Mus musculus: one gene and its partner. The protein of the gene in region 2 interacts with the protein of the main gene of each other region in a pairwise test. Links are inferred from orthologs where the notes say so. Each region holds a gene or a part of one and is shown on either strand. Other genes may lie near its edges.

Region 1 (4,532 bases), on a different chromosome or scaffold from region 2:
TCATTCACATTCATATTCACTCATAGATATCTACAAATGACTAAAAGGAAACCTTTTGGATACCTCTCAAATCATACACATGTATGACACTCTCTTGGTTGTAAAGAGAATGGTTACAGCCTACCTGTACCGGCTGACTTTTCTGAACACACCATAGTCCCAGCACTGAAATCACCTCAGCCTTTCCTGACCATGCCCACTACAATATGGAAGTAGAAACTGCATTGAGAGTCTTAGATTAGGTATAGTGTTGTAGGGTTCCTCTCTCTGTGGGTTACTACAAAATCAGACACAATTGCTTCCTTGCACGGGTCTTCCCTGTACTCAAATAGGAAGGTCGTACGTAGGTTCAGTGATAATGGTGGATTAATGTGTCTGCCGTACCCATGTATGGGCACGCCTCCCCTCTCTCAGAGACCTTTCCACACACACCCCATTGATGTGAGGAGCAAAACACTCACTCCAGAGCTTCAGGCAACTCTCTCCAGCCAAAAAAAAAAAAAAAAGAAAATTTTTTCCTAACCCCTACCCAAAAAGGGCCAGACAGCCTGGAGACCCTTGTTTTTGTGTCTCTAATCGCCAGCTCAGACAGTGCCCTCTGGGCTGTTTGGATGGCCTGTCCCTAGCCCTCCCAGGATCACTCTCTCTTTTGTTGCATTGTGAGAAAATTATGGCGAGGAATTTGATCCGGAGCCAGTGTCAGCTTCCGGGTGTGATCTCAGCATCCAAGTGTGAGCTCAGGATGCTGAGACGATGGGCATATTTCACAGTGGAAATAGCTGCCTAGGACCTTCTTTCTGCCCACCGGTTTGCCATTGGGTCTTCCAGGCAACAGAACAGAAGCAGCACAAACAAGGCCCCCAGGTTTTGGTTTATTCAGCCCCACCCAGAATTAAATCAAAGGCTTTGATACATCAAGGGACCAAACCATACACTGTGGACCATGCACCGATGCCATCTCCCAGGGATGCTGCTCCCTCTGGGGTGTGGTGGATTTATGGAATCACCACGGGAGGTAGACAGGGGATTCACTGGGTGCTGGGTCTATCGCTGGCAGTCAGGGCTCAACTCTGGCTATCTCTTCCTCTTCCTCGGGGTCAGGAGGAGCAGGAAGCAGGGAGATGTAGACTTCATTGACTTCCGTGTCCAAATGCCGGCCACCCCGCGGCGCCTCCAAGTTAAGGATGCCATCATGGGATAGAGCAGCTCGAACCCGCCAGGGGTCCACATCTGCAGGCAGGACATAGGTGCGACAGAACTCTCGGGACACGAAGCCGTGGCGATCCAGACGCTGGGGGTGTCGGGCAGACACCTCCAGCAGGTTATCCACAGTCCTCACCGTCACCTCATCTGGGGTAAAGTGGCTCACATCCAGAAACGCCTGGAACTTGCCTTCACTGAGCCTGAGCTCTGAGGCCCCTGCCCTGGCGCCCTCGCCAGCTCTGGCGGCCCGAGGCCGAACATAGTAGCCGTGATAGAGGGTGGGGGTCAGGATCTCTTCTGGCAGGAGGCCTGGTTGGGGGGTTGGGGGTGCAGAGAGAGAAAGAGAAAGAGAAAGCAAGAGGCAGGATGAGGGTGGATGCAGTGGGCACAGGGATGAAAGGCGATATCTGGAGACATGGGCCAGAAGAGCAGGTGGGAACTGCTGAAGAGGGGCTGGGAAAGGAAAGGAGATAGCCATGGAGGAAGCGAGCTGGAATTGGGAGGACAGACGCGAAATCAGAAGGTACTCTGAAGCCTGCAAAGCCCAGTTACCCAAAACCCTACCGGTCTAAAGTTTATCCTGAGGTCTGTAGCAAGACCAGAGAGAGTCTTGCTTGACGGGGGAATCTGGAATGGGAGATGGTTCACCTCAGGAGTTCACTTAAGCCCCAGGTAGAGTGGAGGCCAGTAAAGCTGGGCAGTGAGCCCAGAATTTCAGGAGGTGGGGGTGGGAGGCAGCATCTGAGTCCTACCTTCTCCGAAGCGCTGCTCGCCCAGACGGCTGGGGTTGGCAAATTCGTACTCGGCAGTGGCTGGGTGGGCGTGTGGCACTGTGCGGCCCGACATGACTGCTGTTGCGACTAGTAGCCCTGATCCCAAGTACTGCCCCAACAAGATCAAGGCGACCCCACCGGCTTCAGGGAGAGCCAGGGCTCAGTCAGAGTGGGGGCGGGGTCTACACCACCCAAAATAGTGCAGAGCCTCTGGGGGTGGGGGAGGGCTGGGAGCCTAAGTCTAGAGTGCAGCTATGAGGGTGTGATCAGCCTGGACCCCCTAAGTCCCCTCCTCTGCACACCCTTCAGCTGTCGCAGGGGCCTGGTAGGACAGCTGAGGGTCCTGGTCCTGGAGTGAGCTCCTGCTCTGCAGGAGGGCAAGGAGAGGCCTAGTTGGGCCTTCACCAGTTGTACATTCCACATCACCCTTTGTCCTTCTCAGTCTCAGGCACTGTGCACATTACTTAAAAAAAAAAAAAAAGACTTAATGTTCTATGAGCCACATAGCATCCACAATGCAAGAAACATTTTCTGTCTTTGTAAGGTCAGTGTCTTCTGAACCTAGATCAGCTCAGGGTTCCAGTCAGACACCTAGTTCTGCTCTCCTCTAGGACTCCACAAAGAGTTAATGTCCCTGGGGCTAAGCCTAGGAAGATTCCAGTCCCTGCCCAGGCCCAAGATAGTTGCTGGCTCAATTCCCCTGGCATGCGAGACTGGAGAGGAGGAGGGGCCCACCAGCAGCTGCTTGGGATTCCAGGCTCCGTCCTAGCTCCAGAGAACAAGGATGGGGTGGGTGCCACTGGGTGTGGACAGAGAGCTAGTGAAACAAGACCATGACAAGTCACCGGTCAGCTCAGCCCTGCCTGTGTTTCTCTTTTCTTAGCTCAGTGAGTACCGGGTATGTGTCACCCTGCCAAATCCCTGATCACAAGTCTCCATGAACTGGCGGTGAGCTGGGATAATAAAACCCCTGACCTCACCATTCCAGAAGCTTCAGAAGACTGCATATATAAGGGGCCGGCTGGAGCTGCTGCTGAAGGAGTTGACCAGCCAACCGACTCTGCATTCATCTAGCCACAATGGACATCGCCATCCACCACCCCTGGATCCGGCGCCCCTTCTTCCCCTTCCACTCCCCAAGCCGCCTCTTCGACCAGTTCTTCGGAGAGCACCTGTTGGAGTCTGACCTCTTCTCAACAGCCACTTCCCTGAGCCCCTTCTACCTTCGGCCACCCTCCTTCCTGCGGGCACCCAGCTGGATTGACACCGGACTCTCAGAGGTGAGTCTGCCTATGCCAGGGCAGGGGTGAGTGTCCGTCCTGGACCCTCAGTCCCTTTTCCCTTTCACCCACCCCCAAGCCATTTTAGGCATCTGTGAGTGTGTGCTAAGGTACAGAGGGGAAATGAAGCTACTGTTTTCTTCTTTCTTCGGGCACCTGTTTCTGTTTGATGCTCGGTTTCCTGGTCCATTTTTCTGTGCATGGTGAGGGTCATAGTCTGTCTCCTAATGATGGAGCAGGATGCTTATTTCTGTTATTTCTGGTTTGCTTCAGCTCCTTTACTTACCTCTTCAATAGTCATGGTCTGGGAGGATTTTATCATCTCAAACTGTAAAGATCAGATAGAAACCCACTCATCCTGGACTTTTTCTGCTCTCTCTCTCTCTCTCTCTCTCTCTCATCCCTTGTCTATGATTTTCTGGGTTCCTTGGGGCTGAGACAGTGCACTAACTTCAGTCCATGCCTTAAGAGGAGTGACTGTCCGACCACTCTCGGGAAACCCTGACTTATCCTAACTGGGTGGGAGATAAGATTAACAGAGCTGTCACAGATAACACTCTGGTTTAAAAATATTCGAGTGTGAGGAAACAGGAGCTGAGTGAGCAAGGGCTTTGGAAGGACAGGACCAGCAGAACATTCCAGATCGAGTGGGTTGGAAACTTGGCAGGGAGCTGAACAAGGAAAAGGGGGCCTTTGTCTTATAGACAAATGACAAAGCCAGCATTGGGGAGCGAGGCAGCAGATGCCATGCCCAGATCCATCCTTGTGACTAGTCCCCTAATGACCTGTCTTCTTCCCTGTGCCTCTAAGAAAAGTTTGGGACTGATGACCAAGAGGCGTCCTTTGCATATCACTACGGTAGCTCACATGCACCAGAGTCGCTATTCAAAGGGGAGGGGGCGTGTTTTCCCCCAGCAGTCAAGTGGAGCATGAATTACCTGGACAGGAAGTAAATCTGCTGAACGATGAGCCTTCTCCAGCTTAATAAACGTTCTACTATCTCCTCTCCTCCTCCTGTCCCCTTGTTATTCTAGATGCGTTTGGAGAAGGACAGATTCTCTGTGAATCTGGACGTGAAGCACTTCTCTCCGGAGGAACTCAAAGTCAAGGTTCTGGGGGACGTGATTGAGGTCCACGGCAAGCACGAAGAACGCCAGGTGTGTGGACCTCTCCGTCCTCTTTTGTGAATCCACTTTGTGCACACTGGGTGCCAGGTACTGCCACCAGCCTCTGAGGCTGGCAGAATTCCAGGCCCCAAACATAAGTGACTAGATCG
Region 2 (5,594 bases):
GAGACAGGTAGTCCGGGGTGCCCACAGCCACCAGCGACCTCACCTGTGCCAATCAGACCTGAATGCTTAAAACCTTTCCCTTGACTGTCCAAATATGGTGCGCAGGACATCCCAGACCAAGCTCCCCTCCTGCTCCTCAACCCAGCCCCGCCCCCTAATCCGGTCCTTCACCAATGAGGAGAGTTTCGCCAGGCTCTTCTTACCATTCCATCAGGCTGCAGTTTGAGGCAGGAGCCGAAGTCTGCCAGGCGAATGTGCCCACATCGGTCCAGCAGAATGTTATCTGGTTTGATGTCCCTGTGCATAGAGAGAAGAGGGAAAGTGTGCTTTCTTGAAAACCTTCCCTCTTAGGGCCCGTCAGCTCGATCCACTTCCACCCCACCCAGGATTCTACAATTCTAGACCCCGATTCTGTCCCCAATGGGATCTGACCTTCAGGTACCCTTCCTTCCCACACAAATTCTGCTAACCCTCCAAGGGCCCCGCCACGCCCACCTGTGCACGTAGCCCAGCCGGTGCACGGAGTCTATGGCCATGACAATCTCGGCCAGGTAGAAGCGAGCCATCTCGGCGGGGATCCGCTCCCCAAACTTGCTCAGCAGCGTTAGCAGGTCCCCGCCCACGTAGTATTCCATGACCAGGTACTGGGAGCGGGTGTGTCACAGGGGTTTGGTAGCCCCCAAGACTCCCAAAGACACCCCGTTCCCAAGCACAGAGGACCCCCGCACAGTGAGAGAGCGCCCCATCCAAAGGCCAAACCAGATATCACTCCTGTCTCAAGGAAGGTCTCTCCTATACTTGAGACACAATCCTACCCCCGTCCCCCATCCCCTGTGTGTGTCCCCCCCACCCCCACCCCCCCGATCTACAGCAGCTTCTCCCTTCTCCAGCCTTCTTGACTTGGGGCGATGTAACTGTCACTCTTTCCTAGTCACCTGAACCCGGAGCTTACCAGGTAGTTCTCATCCTGGAAGGCAAAGTGCAGCTGTGTGATCCAGCGCCGGTCCCCTTTCACTAATACATCCCTTTCTTCCCGGAAGCACGACACCTGTGAGGTAGGAGAGAAGCTACAGGAGGTGAGTTGGAGAGATGAGGGCGCTGCCCTAATCCCTGGCCCTCACCTCGCCTCTCTTCAGCATGTCCCACTTATTCATAATCTTCATGGCATACACTTGGCCCGTCTGTTTCATCTTCACCACCGCTACCTAAATACGGAACCGAGATGACAGCAAGAGGTGGCAGGGAAAACCAGCAAGGCTCACCCAGACAGGACTCCACCCTTATCTCCACCCAACCTTAGCCCCGCCCTCACGTGCACACCGCCCACTGACCACAAGCTCCGCCCCCACCCCTCCAGCCTTAAATTCAAGCTCATTCATCAATTTTTAAGGCTCTGCCCCAGCTGTTATGCCCCACCCACATCAAGTAAAGTTCCATTCCCAGGCCACTGAAGACTCACCTCGCTGAACGCCCCACGCCCGATCACCTTCAAAATCTCAAAATCATCCCTCTGCAGTCGGACCTCCTTAAGCCTTGCTGCAATGGGCTCCACTGGGCGGGGGTGGGGGAAGAAGAACCAAGGGTCATCAGAACACTAGCGGTAAGGGTAGTGACTTTATAGCCTCCTTCCTTCTGCCCCTTAAATCGGCTTTAGGATTCTGCTTTCAAAACCTCTGTGATGTTTGTGGGACCCAGAACTGCCTGTTTCCACAGGGTTGCAGGGCAGAAAGGGAGGCAGTGGGAGAAGCTGGCGCATCAGGCCTTTCACTCCCATGTGATGATCAGGGTGCTAAGTCAGGTCACCCGGGGCTCTCACTTAATGTCTCGGGCCACAACCTCGAACTGGAGCTGTGTCAGCACAGCCAGCACGAAGAAGAAGTGGGGGAGGGTCACTGCCCTCCAGCATCCTGGACACTGTTGGAAGGGCTTTCTTGGTTTCCAAAGGGTGAAGGAGAGTCTTCTTATAACCAAAGCTCCAGGGTATAAGGTCCTGTGCTAGGGTGGTTCAGCCAGAGGGGAGAGCAGCTAGGTCTGAGGCTGGCGACTGGGGGTGCGGGGTGGGCAGAGGGAGGTCAGATCTCCCTTAGGGAAGTTCTAAGGCCGGGGAGTAAGGATGGAGGAGGGACGTGTGGGGAAGCGGGGAGATGGGGTCACAGAGAAGAAAGGGGTTTGGGAAAGTGGGCAGCCGGGGAAGATACAGCTAGGGCCAAGGCTGGGGGGTGGGGAGGAGGAGAGAGCCAAGGCGTTGAGCCCTTTTAAGGCAGCGGGAACCCAGGCCCCCTCCCCCGCCCAGGCCTGGCAGGGGAGGGGCCCACAGGATGCTGCTCAGGCCACAAAAGGACTGCTCCTTCCCAGAGGGTCAGACCCCCTGCCCCCACCCCAGTTCTCAGTTTACCCTGCCAGCCCAAACCCCATCCTTCAAAAGAAAGGTTGAGGGAGACACTAAAGACTGGAGAGGAGAAAAAGTCTTTCACAGGCTTAGCAGTCTAACCGATGGCCTCAACCTTTCCATCTGTGAAACGGGGGAGGAGGGGAGAATGCACTAGGGTCACACACATGGGCAGACAGCCAAGAATCAAGACCTGGACCCTTAATAATAGGCACAGAGCAACAAAACAGGTCGTTACTTGTAAGGAAGCTGGGGTAAGCTGGAGCTTTGGCTCAATGTTGGGCAGGAGCAGATAAGGCTCCAAGCTTGTCCACTAGGCCTGAGAAGACCTCTGGGGAAGGGCATTTAAGTCAGCAGAGGAATTAGAGGTCTTGAGCTAGAACCACAAAAGCAGATGAGAAGCCAGGAGGGATGACCAATCTGGCCCACAAAGGCTGGGCGGGATCAGAGTGCTAGGGATGGGCACACTCAGAAGCTGAAGTTGTTCCTTCCTCTTAATTTGGGGAACAGAAAGGGTGCTCGGTGGCGCCTGTCTGCCGGGCTGGTTCTCCCCCAGGGCCTCTGTGAGTCACAGTGCCCTCATAGCTCCTGGACACCTGTCAGGGCAGCTGGGGAGGCAGACGCCAAACACCTGCCTATGGGCCACACCCTGGCAGCTGCCCCACGCTGTCCCTCCCCACACTCTGGGAAACTGGGGAGGGCTATGAAGCCAGTTTGAGGAGCCAAGGGTCCTAAAAGAGAAAGCTGCCAGGTCCTAGTGTGGGTGCTGAGATAGCAGGAGGCTATGCCCACCCCAGCCTGCACTGGCTGAGTCATAGGTGGCCTCACTGACCCTGGTGCCTCACCAGGGGAGCTTGGGGTCAGGTCATGAGCTCTGCTTGGCTCCCTTACAAAAAGCCCTTTCCAGGCCCTCCTGCCCCTCCATAGCCCATTCTTGCCCTGTAGACCCACCTCTGCCTTGCACCCAACCCCAGGCTTCCTATCCATACTCACCCCACTGCAAGAAGTCGGCCACATACTTGTCCTGGGCTAGGTGAGAGGCACCCAGCTCCTGGTGGACGCCCAGGAGAAGGTCGAGCAGGGGCTCCAGTCCCAGGAAGCCTGGGTCCAGCACCAGCTGCTGGAGCTGCCTCAGCCGCACTTCGGCTGACATGTTGGGCAGGCAACACCATGGCCCCTCCCCGGGCCGGAGCTCGGGGTCTTCCCGTCACAGGGCCTGGCTGCCCCTGTCCAGGCCCCAGAACCCTAGCTGCATGTCTGCCCGTCCCTGACTATCCCTTGGGTCTCTCTGGCCAGTTCTATGCTTAAGGCCTCCTCCTCTTTTCTCCACCCCTTGGCCCAGCCCCCCTCCCGCCTCCCAGTTTTTAACCCCTCCTGAGCCAACACCCCAACTCCCTTCTTCCAGGGCCCCTCAAAACTCTTCAGAGCCCAATGTCAGGGGACAGAGTAATACTCCAGGGTTGCCCCCCCCCATTGACTCTACCCACCCATAAAGAGAGCACAGGGAGTTACAGGTGGGAGGTGTCAGTGCCCAGGAGAGCCAGTCTATAGACTCAGAGCTGGGAGGGGTTGGGGGAAAGGGCTGATGCCTGGGCAACAGGGGGTGAGGGGGTAGTGGGGGGGGCAAAGGCCAGGGGCAGCTTCTTCGTGACTCAGCAATGGATTCCGACTTTGGGACAGTTAAATTTAGCCCCTGTGCCTGCTGTATTACCCGCCCCCCCATTTTTTGGCAGGAGGTAGAAGGAAGATCAGGAGAGAGTTTGCTCAGCCGCCAGGGCCAGGGGTGACCTGCTGGCCCCAGCCTGGGGGAGGCAAGTGGTGGATCCAGGCCCTCCTTAAGCAAAAGAGAACCCCAAAATAGCTCCTTGGCCACAGGCCGGGGCAGCCACATTCCTGCCTGGGCTAGGATTAGAGACAGAAACATTTTAGGGGTTGAGGGCGGAGCTGCCTGGACAGCAAGCCAGGCGACAAGTTAGCTTCTTTCTAGGGTGGCCAGTTCTCTGGGGAGGAAATCATGACCTCCAGCTGGCACTAGATGGCCAGTCATAAATGGGCCAGGGGCAGCAGACTGCAAAGGCATGTTCAGAGGAGGCAGGGAGTGCAGTCAATTCCAGCATCCTCCTCTCCCCAAGGAGAGCATGCTTGGATAGTCCTGGTGTTTAAAACAAGTTTCAAACATCTCCAAGGACCTAGTAGGAAGGCCATCTCAGCCTCTTGACTTTGGGGGTCGAGACTCATCTTTCAGAGGGCTCTCTGCTCGGGGCTAGGGATGGGGAAACAGCTAAGATTGGGCTTCCTTTGGTCAGAGCACAGCTTGGAGGCCAAGTACTGCAACCCCCACCCTACCCTGCCCCAGGGAACAGAAACACTGTGCAAACAAGGACTTTAGTATAAATAAGAGGTCCAGGGGAACAAGGAGGGCCCTCAGGGCTTCCATAATTTAACACTTTCAAAATCACAGACCATAGCAAGGGGTGGAGTTTGGGCAGGAGTGGGGATGGCCCCTGCCCTGCCCTCTCACCCAGGGGTACTGTGGGCTAAGTCTCTCCCAGGAGTGAACAGTCACATGCTGGGACAGGGATATGGTTAACACTGATGTTTCAGAGAACAGGTCATTGTACTTGGCAGTGGGTGGAGGACAGGGCCAAGGCCACACAGGACACTACATCCCCATGGCTGGGCCAACCTAGGGGACCCCCAGTATGTGTGCAGCGTGGGGCTTGGAGCAGTCCTTCCATCATGATTAGTCTTGTTAATACAGTGATTCTTGAGGTCAGCGGGGAGGGTTATGGCTAGGAGGCCGGGAACATGGGACATCCACATTTCACACCACAGTGCCACTGGGGGAGCTGCCTGGTTGGGAGGAGATGCCCTGGGGAGAACAAGAGGAGAAAGGTGGATTAGACAGCACCTGGGCTTCTGCCAGAACCCGGAGAAGGAGCCACCCAAAGGCCTTGGAGCTGCTGCCCCAGCTGGGATCTGCCCCCCAGGCCTAAAGCTGCTGTCCTAGCTAGGAACAAACAGCTCGGCCGTCTCCACTGACCCAGAGTAGCACTTCCACAGTAATGTGGCCCCAGGTGTCCTGGGCATACAGGGGACGACAGTGGAGAGAAAAGAAACTGGGGTCCACTTGCAGCTTCAGGGGTTGTCCTACCTCTACAACTGACTTGCTGGGTGACCTGGGCCAACTTGCTTGCCCTGCCTG

Evidence for each region.
Region 1: the proteins of Dmpk (region 2) and Hspb2 interact in a two-hybrid assay, tested with the Homo sapiens proteins (2 studies listed by BioGRID). The link is inferred for Mus musculus from reciprocal best matches to the Homo sapiens genes DMPK and HSPB2.

What each region holds. Positions count from the first base shown.
Region 1 is NC_000075.6:50,750,222-50,754,753, forward strand, and holds Hspb2 (heat shock protein beta-2), read right to left. Parts: upstream 2,134-4,532; 5' UTR 2,050-2,133; coding exon 1,956-2,049; intron 1,727-1,955; exon of another isoform or gene 1,681-1,726; intron 1,513-1,680; coding exon 1,058-1,512; 3' UTR 851-1,057; downstream 1-850. Other genes in the region: Cryab (alpha-crystallin B chain), read left to right, coding at 3,056-3,256, 4,291-4,413. UniProt on the Homo sapiens protein: May regulate the kinase DMPK.
Region 2 is NC_000073.6:19,081,943-19,087,536, reverse strand, and holds the start of Dmpk (myotonin-protein kinase), read right to left. Parts: upstream 3,680-5,594; 5' UTR 3,543-3,679; coding exon 3,383-3,542; intron 1,552-3,382; coding exon 1,460-1,551; intron 1,206-1,459; coding exon 1,122-1,205; intron 1,049-1,121; coding exon 953-1,048; intron 710-952; exon of another isoform or gene 645-709; coding exon 496-644; intron 298-495; coding exon 204-297; intron 44-203; coding exon 1-43. Other genes in the region: Dmwd (dystrophia myotonica WD repeat-containing protein), read right to left, coding at 5,214-5,261, 5,544-5,594. UniProt on the Homo sapiens protein: Non-receptor serine/threonine protein kinase which is necessary for the maintenance of skeletal muscle structure and function.